Danio rerio: one gene and its partner. The main gene of each other region encodes a partner of the protein of the gene in region 2 in a complex. Links are inferred from orthologs where the notes say so. Each region holds a gene or a part of one and is shown on either strand. Other genes may lie near its edges.

Region 1 (4,303 bases), on a different chromosome or scaffold from region 2:
ATTTTATGCCACCAACTCTGAGAAGTAAAATTCACATTATGCATATCCTTAAAAACATTAGTTCACATGAGCTAAAAAGGTGGCAAAAACATGAAGGCCTGTCGAGGGGGGAAAAAAAGTTGTGTTTGAAGAAATCAAAAAACATATTGGCTAAATGGCTTGAGCAAATGCATCCTCATATAAAAAGTTATAGAATAACACCAGCGTAATGAAATTAAATTACTATGTTAAAAAAATAGTCATTAACACTGGGTGTGAAAAGCCAATACATAAACAATTACATTCAACACTCAAGTTATTGACACGTCAGCAACTTACCAGTAGTTACAAACACTACTCAATTAAGTAAAATCCAATATTTATAAATAAGTTCTAAGACAAACAGATCAGCCTTTAGCAGGTCGTTTTATCATGCAATTTATTTTACTAAGGCCTCAAGCCACGCCAACCAAATCAGCCTGTACAAACCCAAAGACTGACCTGTAACCAACCAAATTACTGCATCACTCATGGAAGCATTTCATGGGCTTTCACATGCATTTCTCTATGACATGCTTAAGAGAATCGGACCCCACATTGAATGGTGCAGGTTGATGGTGGGTAAGAGACATGAGGTGTCAGTTGTCAAAAGGAGGAGTAGTTAAAGAGATGTAGGTCTAGGTCACATTATAGTCGAAACAAACACTACACCACATGCTACTGCAAAACAAGTGCCTGACAGCAATGAGAAAGCAATTTACTACACACTGCTTTCAGACACAAGGGGATGGAGATGACTTTAGCAATTCAGTATCGGACCTGCATTGCTTTCGCAGTCGAATTGGACGAGACATTTTTTGCATAGTAAACATGAGCAGTGATGGAGTTCTGCAGCTGGAGACAGTTCACAGCAAGCAGCAACATCAGAAAACACAGTGGGTTCTTGCTAATGGACATCAGATGGTATATGCAAACATTGACAGTGCTACCAATACCTCAGTGTGTCCTAAACGAACAAAAATAAATAAATGGCACTCACATTGCACATTGATGGAGTTAGTGCATTCTAGTAAATATGGGGCAAAGTGCTGAATTTCGATGGATTGACTTCTTTGAGAAGACCATTTCTATAAAGTCATTTGAGACATATAGAGATGACCGTTTTGAACTGTTGCTTTAACATAAAGGTTCTTTCACTAATTTGACATCAGTTGTATCAGCAAAGAAGTCAGACTAATGAAATTAAGCAGTTACATCCTTCATGTGATGTGCAAACTGTGAGAAAAAAAATTATAAACAAGTTTTGGGACAAAAAAAAAAAAAGTGACTTGTTTGGGTGTAGACAGAATATTCCCCCGTTCACATACAAAATTATTTGCAACCTAAACTCTATGACTCTGACAGATGTTGTAATAGCAAATTTTAGATATTCACCTATATAAGCTCGTTCTTGGTCCCGAGTCAGCCCAGGAGGGATCACGGTGGGCATGCCCGGGATAACAGTCTTCTGATCAGGGGTCTCGCTGCTCCAGCGACTTCTTTTCCGTTTCTTCTGTCCAAAATCTGACAGGGGATGTAAACAAATTAAGCCATTATGTCTGATTTGTGGATGTCTAAAGCCTGTAAATTAAGACCAAAACTTCACAGAAACGTTCACCATGTCTTTATGATGCAAAATGTTTAATTTATTGAATTATTACACTTTTAAAAAGTAAACATAGGATTTTTTCTTTGATTAAAAAGAAATTATAAATATGAAGAGTTCAGATGCAAAAACCTCTTAAGTGCCGTCTGAAATTTCCATCAATTTTTCACCTTTGCCTCTCTTGTTTATGTTGAAATATTTTACTTTAAAGACCTGGAAAAGGACTTATTCTTTGCCATAAAAGTGATATTACGAAACATACTAATAATTTAAGAAATATTTAAGACAGCATTCTAAGGTTTTTAGCAGTTTAAGCAAGCAGTTTGCTGCTAAATGCCACGTTATATTAACTTAACATCGTTAGCCATATAAACACTGCAATGTAATAAACATCTTTGTTCAGTCTGGGCATGTACATTTGCTGTGTAAAAGCTCCCAACCCTTTTTATACCATATTATGCACTAAACTGAAAAAAAAAAATCTATATTAAAAAAAACAGTGTGCACTTTATTGTCTAATGTTAACACTGCTCGATTTCAAAACAATAGATTTTTCTGCATCATATTTCATTTCAGAGTTCAGTGTTAAATACAACACAATACTTTAACGTGTAACGTTAGATTAAGTTTTGATCCCCCAAATGAACATGTTAAATAATTACACATTCCAAAGATTTTTAATATGCAATGGCATTGTAAAAACAAGTAAGACTATTAATGACGGTAACCAGCCATTCTACTTTTATAAATGGAGGCCGTTGATCCTGAAGGAGTCAAGGCCTGTCCACGGTGTTTACCTCCGCCTCCCGCTTGAGACTGCTGTCCTACTACGATAGGGTTTGAGAGCGCAGAGCTCACGGCTCCGGGAAACTGCGGGAACCCAGGATTTGATAATTGTGGCGGTTGGAAGTTCTGCAGCGGGAAAGGCACCGAAGGCCCAGGCGGAGGCATTAACCCCGGACCGGGGCCAGAGTCAAAGCCTCGCTTAGCGCCGATGCTCGGGTGCAGCTTACCAAGCGGGGTTGCGTTAGCTCCCGTTGCCATTTCTGGGCGTCAGGGGCTTCTTCGTGGTTCGATATCTGCACAGAATGTATCCGTTTCTTTTGTTGATAAATCAATTGATACGAACGCGTGTCTCCGACCACGCAACCTTCTTCTGTCACCCGCTGGATAAGATGGCGTCCGCTGAGATCGACAAAGGAGCTTTGACGTCAATTTAGAAATATCCGATTGGTCGATAGTCGTGTCAATCTGTGTTTGGGGAACATTCATTGGATCATTTAAGGTCTGTCGTGTTTCCGTCGGAGCAATTTACTTACCTCTCATTGGTCGCCAAGCCGGCCATATGTTCCAGGATAGGTTGGCTCTTTCTGTGCGGTGTGGTCAGGTTGTAGCTAGATCAGATACGGTTATGGCTGGCAGACAACGAAAATTACATTTCCCATATTTTATTAGGGCGACAGTGTTTTTTTCACAGTGGTTAGCACTGTCGCCTCACAGCAAGAATGTCACTGGTTCAAGCCCCAGCTTTGGCAGTTGGCCTTTCTGTGTGGAGAAAATGAGTATAAATGAGTGTATGGATGTTTCCCAGTATTGGGTTGCAGCTGGAAGGGCATCCGCTGTGTAAAACATAGGAGCAATTCCATGCAAATGTCAACCTTGCCATAAATAAAAAAGATTTCGACAAAATAGCAAAACTGTTTCTGGGTTTTTGTGCTTTAAAATACTCAAAAATGTCTCCATTAATGTTTTCAAACTATTATATTTGACTTACCAAAATCACATGAGTGGCAATTCCACATCTGTCACATCAATAACGAAGATTTTGCCTAGTAAATGGAAAAATGTCAAATTAAATTAAATCAATCATTTTTGTTTTATAATGAGCCAACTCTTATCCTTTTGATGAGCATTGTTTCTGAGATTTTACTGCAAATGTCACATCCATAACGCTGGAATTGCTAATTTGCTGAATAAGTTGGTGGTTCTGTCCACTGTGGCGACCCCCGATAAATAAAGGGATTAAATGAACCCTTTAGCTCATGAAAATAAATGAACCCTACCCTAACCCTAAATCCAACCGTCACAGTACTGTAAACATGTTAATTATTGGTATACAGTGTCACAAAAAATGATGATATACATATACACAGCTGTATCTTATCTACTCTTACTGTGCAGGTCAGGTTTTGGTAGATACAGTATGTCTATATGAGTGATAAAATTACATTTAAAACTTAGATTTTATTTGTATTATAGTTTATTTTTTTCCCATTTACACTACTGAGTTACATTATATCCTGACCTTGCTAATTATTCTACATTTGTATAATTCGAACCCTTAGAATTAATAACGGGCAAAGGAGTGGCACAGTAGGTAGTGCTGTCGCCTCACAGCAAGAAGGTCTCTGGGTCGCTGGTTCGAACCTCGGCTCAGTTGGCGTTTCAGTGTGGAGTTTGCATGTTCTCCCTGCCTTTGCGTGGGTTTCCTCCAGGTGCGCCGGTTTCCCCCACAGTCCAAAGACATGCGGTACAGGTGAATTGGGTAGGCTAAATTGTCCATAGTGTAAGAGTGTGTGTGTGAATATGTGTGTGGATGTTTCCCAGAGATGGGTTGCAGCTGGAAGGGCATCCGCTGCGTAAAAAACTAGCTGGATAAGTTGGCGGTTCATTCCGCTG
Region 2 (3,828 bases):
GCCTTCCAGAAAGACACGCTCATTACGGATAACGAACTTTCTGATTCATGATGTCAACATGGAAATTTACCTCTGCGAGCCTTTTTATCACACTTTTTTCTGTTTTCATTCTTCTGCTTTTCTCTCCTCTCTGTGGATCTACATTTATGTTTTGTAATAAGCTTTTAAATATCAACAATAGCTATTTATTAATGCTATTAGACATCTCACCTTTCATTTCAATACATGCAGCCTAGAGCTGCACAATTAATCGTTAAAAGATCGCGATCTCGATTCGACCCCCTAGACTATCTTAATCCAGTATTTCTACGATTCTGTCAATCATATTTTCAAGTTCAGGAGAGAAGAAAAGGCGGCTGCACGAGTCTTTTCACTGTTTCACACACGTTGCTCAGTGACATTGACACCTCCAAATGATGTTGAATGAGTCACATACTGAATTTATAAGGTATAATTCACCTAAAAATGTAATTTTTGTCTTAATATAATGATGCTTTCGCAATCAGGAAATTACACGTGACGTGTGCTGCTGACCGTGAGCTGTTATCACAAAGAGGGCGCACACTCTACTTAATGATAGACGCGCGCTCTACTTAATGATAGACGCGCGCGTCTACTTTAGTGAACAGAACCTGCATATGTTGCGAGTAACGGGTAATACACTTGCAAATAATATTCAGTTTTTGGCACAGAGTGATCGGTTGGGAGCCGCGCGCGAAGTATGAACAAGCACTTAGCAGTCAGAATGAAACTGAAAGTGTGCACTTCATTTAAATGATCATATCGCATTTAAGAGTTATGATTACGACAAGCATTTGATATGTTTTTTTCTTTCATAGCGAACCCACAGTTGTGCATGAAAATAAAGGTTTACAATGTCAGTATAACTACTCTAGCCTATATATTGTTGAATATAATCTGATAATGGCAAATGTCTGATTTTACCAGTGAATAAATTTGTCTAATGTGACAGATTGCAAGCATATATCTCAAACATAATAATTCAACATCAGAATTATTATAAGTAGAATAGAATTATTTATAGAAACCAGTAGACCTACACATAATATTATTATCGATGTTGTGCCATATGTTTGTTTTTACCATACCTTTATTTTACATCTACAGAATCGTGAGAAAATCATGATCTTTATTTTAAGCAAAAAAAAAATCGTGATTCTCATTTTAGCCAGAATCGTGCAGCTCTAATGCAGCCATGAACATAATCAAGACGCTTAATTGTTCTTTATGAAATCTAAATGATTTATTAGCATAAACAGCCCTGAGTGAGCCTATTCTGCTCTGGGAGTGGGAGTGTTGAACTGGAACTTGAAATGTTTGAAGTGGCCTTTGTTATTAAAGTCGAGTTGACGTCAACGCATTTTGCAACATGCCACAATTTGCAGTTGATTTGCAGGAAACATGTGTTTACATGCTGTTTGACAGCACACACTGCAAAACAATGCAACAGTCAAAAAGGCCAAAGATAAATCTTCATTCATTCTGGACCACCCCTTTACCATGTAAATCATTCGCGCTTGACGCTTCATCCTCATCTGGTGTGAACGCAGCATTAGAGTGAAACTGATTTTCGTTCAAACTAATTGATGCAAACTACACATGGTTAATGGACAATTTATTTATCGCCCAGCCATGATAAAAATGCACTTTATTCTTCCCAATCAAAATATTTCTTCCAACCCTGTGTTGTGTTTTTTGTAACTTTTCTTGTTTTTCCCTCTTTGTGGCCTACAGGGCGTTTCTTCCAATGCATCATGGGAGCAGGCAATGAAGCTGATAATTAATGACCCTCGTTACAGGTATCCAAATACTGCACAGCATTATTGGCATTTATTAGCGTTTACATCCTGCGCCGTTAAACAAATTTGTGCGATTCTTCACTGACGTCCCTTTCTCTGTGTGTGTGCAGTGCTCTGCCAAAGCTCAGTGAGAAGAAACAGGCGTTCAATGCTTATAAAGTCCAGACAGAGAAAGAGGAAAAGGAAGAAGCCAGAATAAAATACAAGGAGTCTAAAGAGACTTTCCAACGCTTCCTGGAGAACCACGAGAAGATGACGTCAACCACACGATACAAGTGAGTGTATATACATTATATACATGTAACTTTATATACAACTGTCTGAATAATGGACACTGTAAGATTTGGTAATGTTAAAGTCTCTTGTCACCACATTTAATCCAAATACAAAAAAAAAAAAAGAAAGACATTAAGACATTAACTTGCCATTACTATATATAAAAATTAAAGAGCCCCTGTTATGTTTTTTTTTTTTTTGTTTGTTTTTTAAATGACCTTCTATGTAGTGTGTAAAACAGCTCTGAGTGTTGTGAAATATCCAGCTAAGGCTCAAATCTGAATGTGCACAGTGTTTAAAACTATTGATTCATCTATAAAAGAGTTGACTCATAGTGCTTTAAATTAATCGTCTTGATAACGAGTCTTTAGGCGTTTTGACTGAACTTAAGCCCAGCCAATTTGTTGCGCTCGCAAACACGGGAAAATTTAACCCCCTGGCCCACAAACACTGCAGCAGATCCTGGTTGAATCAAGTCATGAAGACGCTGTGCTCAGCTTGATATTATTGGAAGTATGAGAGGAAAGTTAGTGTTATTTTCTATACACAAAGATGAAACTGTGAAGAGTCAGTGATTGGAAGTTTATTTTTGCAAAAATACCTCAGCATCATAGCCCGAGCTGTGTGCTGTGTTCCCGTCATTTTTCTGACCAGTGCTACAGCAATCTACACCCTTACAAAGGGGTATTCAACAGCCGTTTGTTAAAGGAAGGATCAGAAAAGACTATTGATGTGTGGGACTTTGGGCATTGGAGCTTGACAGGAACTTTACAGTACACAGTTCATAGATCAGTTTCGATTAAAAGCGATTAAAATGGCTGCCTCCTTGTTTTCTCTAGCTTGCAAATTATGTATTTAATTGTGTTTTGTTACTTGTAACTGCGCGTGCTGTATCAGGTTAACTCTTTATATTCTCATATCGCGTCTAATGCCACATTGAAAACGTGCCACGTGCCTCTTTGTTTACTGATTTAAATGCGTTTGTGAGCTCGCGTTCCATTGCCGTTTGTCATTGCTATGGCCATCATCAGCTGTTCCTACACATGTGAAGCGGTCAATTTTCAAATAGTTTAGCTTTGGGCATTGTGTTGATTATTGCTGAATATGTGTCACTGTTTTTACTTAGCATTATGCTAGTGTTCAACTGCACTGCTTTAATGCACTTTTACATCGGGCTCGCACACATACCTGCCAACATTTGTCCCTGAAAATCCGGGAGACCGGGGGGGTTAGGTTTGGCGGTTAAGTGTCTGAATAACACTGAGATCAGTGTACTGTGGTGTTAGTAACTACTATGAAGCGTGTTTCGGGCGGCCGCTGCGATCGGATCTGGGATGATTGAAATTACGGGAGTTTTCCAGGAGAAATAACAAAATAGGAGGGTGGCGGAAGATAGGTCTGAAATATGGAAGACTCCTGGGAAAAACAGGACTGTTGGCAGGTATGCTCACACACATACTATGCACTTTGACTACTTCAATATTGTTGATAAGCCGTGGTGGCATTTCTCTAAACGATGTTGACCAATCGCAAGAGACTGTCATCGGTCCAATCAGCGCAGATTAGGTTTGCTCTAAGGAGATAAATAGGTAAAAATAGGGATATTTAGGGATAATTAGGTAAAAATAAATGCATAGTATAAGACAATGAAAGTATTTTTTGACCTTGTATGCATATCAGCCTGTTGTTGGAGTCCATTACAACCAAAATATTACCCTGTTTAATGCATAAT

The links.
Region 1: the proteins of prpf40a (region 2) and sf1 are in contact, whole or in part, in an NMR structure (PDB 8PXX), measured with the Homo sapiens proteins. The link is inferred for Danio rerio from reciprocal best matches to the Homo sapiens genes PRPF40A and SF1. Residues at the interface, in NP_001352526.1 of Homo sapiens: His164, Ser166, Tyr172, Tyr174, Ser181, Thr182, Trp183, Tyr213, Tyr215, Ser222, Arg223, Trp224; in NP_004621.2 of Homo sapiens: Pro575, Pro576, Leu577, Pro578, Pro579, Gly580, Ala581, Pro582, Pro586, Pro587, Pro588, Pro589, Pro590.

The regions. Positions count from the first base shown.
Region 1 is NC_133182.1:22,788,333-22,792,635, reverse strand, and holds the start of sf1 (splicing factor 1), read right to left. Parts: upstream 2,805-4,303; 5' UTR 2,669-2,804; coding exon 2,422-2,668; intron 1,543-2,421; coding exon 1,414-1,542; intron 1-1,413. UniProt on the Homo sapiens protein: Necessary for the ATP-dependent first step of spliceosome assembly. Binds to the intron branch point sequence (BPS) 5'-UACUAAC-3' of the pre-mRNA. May act as transcription repressor.
Region 2 is NC_133184.1:4,703,416-4,707,243, forward strand, and holds part of prpf40a (pre-mRNA-processing factor 40 homolog A), read left to right. Parts: intron 1-1,755; coding exon 1,756-1,820; intron 1,821-1,930; coding exon 1,931-2,095; intron 2,096-3,828.